Linked DNA regions of Neurospora crassa OR74A. The protein of the gene in region 1 interacts with the protein of each later gene in a biochemical or structural test. Links are inferred from orthologs where the notes say so. Each region holds a gene or a part of one and is shown in the gene's direction. Other genes may lie near its edges.

Region 1 (4,288 bases):
TGCCGTCGCAACCAGCGAACCAGGGCAGGTCCAGAGGTCCGTTAGGTGGCTTTGGCGGGCTCTGCTCCCGTCGCTCCTGCCGGGGGATTGGCCTGCCCCGACTGGATGCGAATTGCCCGCAATTGCCAGTGCCAATTGGATCCAATAATGTTCACGGGCGGGAGCAAATAGGCGGGGCTCCCACTCTGCTCGGGCCAGTGGACCGGGGTGTTCGGGCCAGTTCTCTCACGAAGTTGTTGTATTGTACAATACACCGGGCCGCGATGCTCGTGACACGACACGCTGCTTGATCCACAATGGCCGACTCGTAGACAGGCAGATGCTCCTCTTCCCTCGCGAATCCGCGAGTATGAGACTGGAGAAGCCCACACCGTAATCACCGTAGAGGCCGGCGCCAAATCTCCGTTTTTTGATGGATACAATATCCGGCCCTGAATGTGGTCAATTTGGATCATGAAGCTGAACATGGAACTCTGCGGGCCAAAGGTTCAATGTTTCTATCCGGATGTACGTGGAGGTAGCTTGGCCGAGCTGCCGAGCTCGAGCGGGTCAGGGGGTCGCTGACGCCGTTCTAAGGATCGAACGCGGGGCGGCTCCCACACGTGTGTTTCGGTTCCCAAGTCTCCTCCCGTCCATGCGCGCGGTAAAAGGATGGCCGACGACGGAAGACCGGAAGAATACCTGGACACGACCACGCTGAACACTTGCGGCACCGACATCATGTGCGCGTCTCTGCAATCGCATGTGTCTCGAGGGACAGCGGTTGTCAGACCAGACCTCAACATCGCGATGTCAAAACTGCTTGTTCACTCGCATCGATGTCGACACCGGCATGCATTGACGTCACGGCACCCTTTGGGCCTTTGGGACTACCTAGGTATGTACTTGGCCCTTGCGAGATCCCTAACTCATCCGGGGAAGCCGCCCCTTTTGACAGGTGTGGAAACGTTCCTGCTCCGGGTTTCCAGAAAACAATGTTGGAATTGCCAATTGATGGACGGATTGATAATAGATGAACCCGCCTGCACAATCTGTTCCCTAGCACGTCCTCGACACTCAACGCTCATCATCAATGTTCGTGGAACCTTCGGGGTTGCATGGAGAGTCGGATGGAGCACGCAACCGACTCCAGTAAGGGCTTCATCCAATCTCAGGTTGGATGTGGATCAACGGTTGGGGTTCCTAATTTACCGCAATCCGTCTCGGCTTTGTTGCCTTAGTGCCTCATGCTCTTGGTACGTGCGTCAGGCCACAACACGTCCGACACCTCTCTGCAAGGCTTTCGTTTGCTTGTAAAAAGAAGGTTTTCCGAGCCTTCAGTCACAACAGTTCGAGGCGGGTCATTCGAACCAATCAAGGCGTGATTGGGTGGCTCGAAAAAGTGCCTGCCAGTTCGTTCCTCCCCTCGGGCCACGCATCACAGCCACGGTGCCACAGCAGCACAGCACACAGGCAGCAGGGCAGGCAAACCGAAGCGACGAACGGATGCAATCGAACCCGACAGACGACTCGAGCAGAGTCAAGATCAGGGCAGCCACTACAGCCGAGTACCCACCCATACCTGCACCAACCACCGACCACTGGCACTCCCCCGTCCAGTCCACTTCTTCTACTTCTGCAACGACAACTTTTCTTTCTCCCCGCTTTCCAACCCCAACTCCCTCCTCACTTCTCGCATCACCACCACATCACGCTTTTGTCGTCATCAGCGAAAATAATCTTAAACGCCAACGGAGACCGCCTTCGTCAATCCAGCAATCCAGTAATCGACTAGTCGCCCAGGATTTGTCCATGCATCTCGACTCAGCACACGCTCACCTGGATTTTCTCACTTTCTAGTAGCCTCACAGTAAAAGGGTGCGCCCAGATCACATCCGCGCAGGTCAAGTCCTGATCTTGTCTGCCCTTCGTACAGCTGCTTTCGTTGCGGTTCTTGCACGTCGTCACAGCTATCCCCAGTTGGTGGTTTCCACTTCGCGCGTCACGTCAGAAAAATAAAAAGGACCACCGTATTCTTGCTCGCACACACGCCGGCCAGCAACATATATCTCTGGCCTCTCGGCTTCTCTTTTTTTTGCTAGGACTTTGCACTGGCCTACGGCTTCTGCGCTTGTCTTAAGACGCACAGAAAGGACAGTCTCTTCGTACAAGCTGCTCTCTTCTGAGTACCCGGTGGCGCGGGCAAATTGCAGCTTCGTAACCTCGGTGATATACGTCGAGAAGCAAGGAAAGCAGACCTTGGATGCCGACCTGTTTGAGCCTTAATCAACGTACTCCGTCTTTCCACCCGTGACAAAGGAGCATGGTATTGGCATAAAACCTTTAATCAGCCTTCACCGTATCACAACCGTACTACATCGCAGCTTGTATTTCCAAGCCCAACGGCCAAGTTGATTGCCGACTTCAGCTGGTCTTGCTCGATTTTCAAACAAAAATCATCCATCATGTTGTCGTCACAGGCGGCCGTAGCTGAACTAGAGAAGGGCCTCGGGGACATGCAAAACCTGAAACCGCCCGGTGTCTCTGGCTCGAAAATCAATAGCCTCACCATGCTGTGTTTGAACAACGTCCAGGTAAGAAAAGCGCCGTGTCTGGGCTCGACAGTATGCACGATGGAGGCACCAGAGCTAACCACACATCCTTCGACAGTACGAATCACAGCTGGTTCAGAAGTTATATACCCACTACAAGAAGACACCAAACACTCACAAGCTGGGCGTCCTATACGTCGTAGATTCTGTAACCCGCAAATGGTTGGAGAAGGCAAAGGCCCTTGAACAACCCGTCACCCTTGGTGCACAGGATGGCACCTATGCTGCCGGTGTCCATAGAGTGACTGAACTAATGCCCATGTTCATGAACGCCATCATCTCTTCGGCCCCCGAGGATCAAAAGGTACGCACACAACCGCACACTCATGTGCCGTCTTACACTTATACCTCCATTTCTGCCAAACGGACTAGACCCCGAGCACACTTGGGAGCGGCTGTAAGATCAGGCCACACCAGTCGTCTTCACTTTCCTAGACCATATCGTGCATCCATTTTTGGTTGTATTTAGTGTCCAGTATCATGTTGTTCATAAACTCACACCCGTATCGTCTTGTAGGAGAAGATCAAGAAGCTGGTCGACATATGGGAAAAGGGCCAGACGTTTCCTCCCGATATGGTCAACACCTTCAAGGAGAAGCTGAATGCTCATCAACAGCACAGTAGGTTTTGCCCGGATCCTCCTAAGCATATTCCCTTACGCGTGTGCGGTGCTCGTTGTTTGCCTGATCTAACTGTAGCGTGTGCCGATAGATGTCTCGACAACACCACCAGGCAGTCCCCCTCCCAACCCGCTGGCTTCCTTGCAGGCCACTAGCAGACCTCTCCCTACGCCTACAACTACCGCCGTAATGCCGTCCAACATCCTGGAGACCTTAGCAAATCTTGCCCGCTTGAATGCGAATGCGGCTCAGAGTAATTCCAGCGCGGCCGCCCCTGCTCCCGCCCCGGCCGCAACTGCGGCTGTGGCCCCTTCTCCGGTACAAATGGGGGTCCCGCAGATTCCTCCTGTTACTTCTTCCACGCCGCATCCCATGTTTGCTACTTCTGGCCAGCCTAGCAATGGAGCATTGCCAGCCGGATTTCTTCCCGGTGTGGGGCACCCGGGTATGCCGTACTTATCAGCATCGCAGCCGGCGGGGCAGTCGGTGAACATGCCACCGACGATGCCATTTGGCTTCCCAGCTCCGGCCGCACAGCTAGCTCAGCCTGTGCAAGTGCCAGGAGCAGCCCCTAGTGCGAATACCGCTACGACGGTTCAGCTGTTCGCCGCCCTCGCCGCCCAGGGCATCCCTCTTGACAAGATTGCCAGTGTAATGCAGCTGATGGGTCAACCAAGTGGCACCGCCCCGGCAGCACCTCCCCAGTCCGTTGCTCAGCCTCTATATGCCGGCTATCCTCCTCCTCCCCCTGCTGGCGGTGTATCTGCTGCCCCTGCATGGGAGGCCGTGAGACATGATGAATCACGTGATCGTAATGGCTATCATGATGGGATGAGGTCTCCAAATAGGCCTCGGGGTCGCTCTCGCTCACGCTCGCCGCGGCGCTGGGATGTCAGGGGGTCGCCTCGAGCCCGCGGTAACGATCGCTTTGATTATGGGCGGAGCACCCCGCCCCGTGGCCATCCGGATGATCGTGGTAGAGACCGGGATATGCGTATTCCCGAGTACCGACAACGGTCGCCCCCCAACCGTAGACATGAGAGCCCGGGTCAGGAGCCGCCCTCCGAGAAATGGGTC
Region 2 (4,003 bases), on another chromosome or scaffold:
GACCGGCTCGAGGAGAACGTATAGTCCGCCCCATGTCAGAGCCGCAAAGGTGCCCAGGTTTGGCTCTAGGTACGGTACCTGAAGCCAGGAGGGGAGTGTGAAGAATGGTCCATAATTGGAGGCCTAGTTTGGAAGCATGAGGCGTGTGAGAACATGTCGCTAGGGACGAGGGAAAGTGGTTCAAGAATTCATACAATTTCAAAGGCTGAGAAGAGGATTAAAGGCACACAAATCATGTGGATGACTACATTAACGTGATTAGAGTGGTAAGCACCATACTGCAAGCAGGGAGAGGACAAGTTAGCAAAAGGCTCCAGTTCGTGAATTTCGAGCGAGGTGAAGTGGACGAAACAAGCAAGGGTGCCCGAGCAGGCCGACTTGGAGCATGTAGGTTAGAGCTTGGTAAACTCAGGCAACAAAGCTTACAAAGGTGAGTTGCTTTTCTAGGTTGAGGGACATGGTGAAAGTGATGCTTCGGATTTGCCCGGTATGATTAGGTTGGTGCTGTAGACAGCCTTGAGGTTCAGGGTGTGAATGGATGGCGAGATCTCGCTCAGTTCCGTGAGACCCGAGACAGGAGAGCGACAGTAGATGACAAGTCGAGTTGCGTCGAGGGCGACCAGTGAAGAGAGGAAATGAATCACTGCCACATGTGTATAAACGAGCAACAGGTGGAATTGGTAGTGTTCGAAAAGCAGAGCGTGCAGCTAATGAAGACCAGAGAGCGGCGGGATCTGGTGATGTGGGAGTCTGTCTGGTGTTCCACTCCGCATATCCATCTTCATATTCTCAGAGGGCTAAAAGCTACGTGTGGATGCCTCGGTTGTGGAGTCGCCATCAACAGGAACAAGGGAACCTGTTAAGGCTCCCGGCCGGCCCACCCCCGCAAACCCTCCAACTCGACGGCCACAGCGCTATCAAACGCATGCTGACAGGACCCGAACGTGCCCCGCCTCTGTCGGTGCTCCTACCGACGCGGTTACCTCTCGGTCAACGAACGTTAACGTCACAACCTAAAGTGGAAGGCCAACAGCTGTGGTGTAAGAAAGGTGATCAATCGTGAGTTACCCGTTTCAAGTCTTGTTTATGAGCGTTCTCATCTTTTGGCTTCTCGAACCACCATACTGTCTTTGCTGTGGCCATTCGAATCTTCCTTCTTAGACATCATTCGACAGTCTGTCTTTGTCACATGTTGAAACGGCATGAGCCATGGTACCTTTACTCGAGCTTACAGCTACATGAACGACTAAGGAACGCTGGGGGCTGGTAGAAGACACACTCCCTTAAGAAAAACCCGCTACATGATAGTACAGCAGATTATTTCACAAGCCTTACAACGAGCATCTTATGCCTGGTCTGGTTGAATGATATGATGGAATTGGGATATTTGGTGTTGAAGTTGTGGACAACACCGAATCCCGGCAGCGCCAAGACCGCTTCCGTGTGGTCAGTGCTGTTCCTTGCAGATTGTGCACGAGCCATGTGCTAAACGTCAAGGGACGAGTGACAGGCCAAGCTCGCAAGGCAAAGTCCCGAAACCGCGTCTGCGGCGGTCTCTGTGTTGGAGGCTACCACTTCCAGAACCTCCAAGCTTTTGTTCCATCATAGTCGATATCTAGTGTATTCCGTCAGCCTTGCTCTCCCGTCACGACGTCTCCCCACAAAACCAAGTATCACCTTCGACACGATCCCTACACCAACATTCTTGCTGTCGATTTTCGCATCTCGCCCTCACTGTCATTTTCGTCCCGACACGCGACTTCAATTGCCCAAGTCTCGACAGCACTGCCGCCGCCGTCGCACCCCTCGACACGACAGCCGCGCGAAGGCATCCCGAGGCGCATAACCTCTCCAGGGCATCGTCTTATCGACGCCCACTTTCAGCCGACGACACCCCGATCCCACAGTACTAACCCGCCACAATGTTTTTCCTCCATAACCTCGAGCGGCGGGTTACCCTGCATCCATCCTATTTCGGCAGGAACATGCACGAACTTGTCACGACCAAATTGGTCAAGGACGTGGAAGGGACGTGTGCCGGTGATTACTACATCATTGCCATCATGGATGCGTTCGACGTTAGCGAGGGCCGCATCCTCCCCGGAAACGGCCTGGCCGAGTTCACTGTGAAGTACCGTGCTGTGGTTTGGAGGCCGTTCAAAGGCGAAGTGGTTCGTTACAGCGAAGATTCTCGGTGGTGTTCTCTCCGTTCGGATGGTCTAACGAGGAGTCCCTACAGGTGGATGCTATTGTCTTTTCCATCAATCCTCACGGCTTCTTCTGCCAAGCTGGCCCGCTCTCCATCTTCGTTTCATCTCACGTACGATGACGCCTACGGTCTTTTTGGATACGCACATACGATGCCCTCGAACTTCGATCGCTGACAAGAGAACTATAGCTGATGCCCGAAGAAATCCACTTCGACCCCAACGCGACGCCTCCTCAGTTTACCAATAACGCTGATATGGTCATTGAGCCCGGTACGCACGTGCGCGTCAAGATTGGTGGCTTAAGAACGGAATTGGGTGAGATGTATGCCATTGGCAGCATCAACGGAGATTTCCTTGGGTGAGTTTCCACGTCTTAGCGGCGTGGTTGTGCTGTTTGTTATTAACCAGTTTCTTCCTTTCCAGGTGTCTGCAAGCATAAGGGACTTGCAAGATGCAAGAAGGTCATTCCCAAACGAAGGGTTTGGACTCGCTCAACTACTACGAGGTACTCGCTCAACAGAATCCTAGTGAAGCCACGAGTTAGAGTATACCCTGGGTTTACATCAACAGTTCTGGTCGGCTGATGAAGCCTCTGGCCCGGTCAAGAAGCAAGTCTTCTGGGCAATGCTGAAAGCCATCCGTATCGAGGGCCGTTTCAGGATCTCTGTGGCGGTTTATGAAGGATCATGTTTGCCCCTTAGCAGCGCGTGGGCGGCAATATGATCGAGCCCCTTGTTGTATTGCACGCGGGAGTGCGGCGGTAACACGCTCAAGGGCTTTCAAGGAGATGTCTCGTCCGAATGAGACTCAACGGGGTTGGTATTTTTGTCATGATTTGCTTGGGGTGCGTAAAACCTTTGTCTGTGGCGTTTTGAGGCATTATTGGGGCCACAAGCGGCGCCTGGAGTCTATTGACGGTTTTTTCTTTTTGAGGTATTTGCAGCATGCTTTCTGTGTTTGAGCGTGATTACTGGTATTTGGGTAACTGACATTATCGACGTATCTGCGACATGGAGGACATGTCGCTCTTAATACATGGGCACATGATGATGTCTTCAGAGTTTTGCGGGTACAATGCCTCAAGGTTCTCGGGTGCTTGGCTTAGACTGACCAACAAAAAACGACTGTCTGCGATACCACAGAGGGCATCTCGCGCGATTGTACTTAGAGGGAATAATCCTTGTTCAGCTAAGGTGCTCAGTTACCATGAGCAAAGACAGTATAAGAGACACCGCAGCACTCGCTTGGCTCATAAACTCGACTCCCCGGTCTATCTCCTGAACGTCTTGACTAGGAAGCATTCAGTCTCGGGCTATTATACCATGTGATGGTACCCAACGAGGTGGGATGTTGTGATGGCTCAGTTGCCGTGGGGGGAAACCTCCCATTTCAAGCTGACAACTTGGTGCGTGCCCATCTACGATCCTCCCGCAACATTTACAAGGACCTTGAAGCACCATATCTCAATGGTTCCATAATCTTCAACGAAGCGCGGGGGTTACGCAGCAGTGAAGACGTGGGGAAAAGAATAAAACGACAAGGGGGGAGGTTCATCCACTAAGTCGTCGAGTTGATACTATGCAGTAAACGTTTGGCCGGTGACCTGTCCATCGTGAGGCTACGATATCTCTTGACTTTGTGGAAGAATAGTATGGCCGAAATACGTCGGGCGAACTAGAGCAGAAGGGGGTAACAGTGGGGGCCAGATCGGTGTGAAGAAATCCCCAGAATGAAGTAAAGCGGAGGCGAGAAGTTGAATCGGGGTGTGGGCATCAAACACCAAAGAAAGAAGG

What was found.
Region 2: the proteins of NCU01695 (region 1) and NCU02661 form a complex in vitro, tested with the Schizosaccharomyces pombe proteins (2 studies listed by BioGRID). The link is inferred for Neurospora crassa OR74A from reciprocal best matches to the Schizosaccharomyces pombe genes seb1 and rpb7.

What each region holds. Positions count from the first base shown.
Region 1 is NC_026502.1:2,700,349-2,704,636, reverse strand, and holds the start of NCU01695 (RNA binding protein Nrd1), read left to right. Parts: upstream 1-1,481; 5' UTR 1,482-2,444; coding exon 2,445-2,573; intron 2,574-2,649; coding exon 2,650-2,895; intron 2,896-3,108; coding exon 3,109-3,211; intron 3,212-3,302; coding exon 3,303-4,288. UniProt on the Schizosaccharomyces pombe protein: Involved in the processing of pol II transcripts.
Region 2 is NC_026501.1:3,099,553-3,103,555, forward strand, and holds NCU02661 (DNA-directed RNA polymerase II polypeptide), read left to right. Parts: upstream 1-1,349; 5' UTR 1,350-1,922; coding exon 1,923-2,171; intron 2,172-2,239; coding exon 2,240-2,320; intron 2,321-2,398; coding exon 2,399-2,568; intron 2,569-2,633; coding exon 2,634-2,649; 3' UTR 2,650-3,494; downstream 3,495-4,003. Other genes in the region: NCU02660 (DUF962 domain-containing protein), read right to left, coding at 1-123, 195-278, 427-459.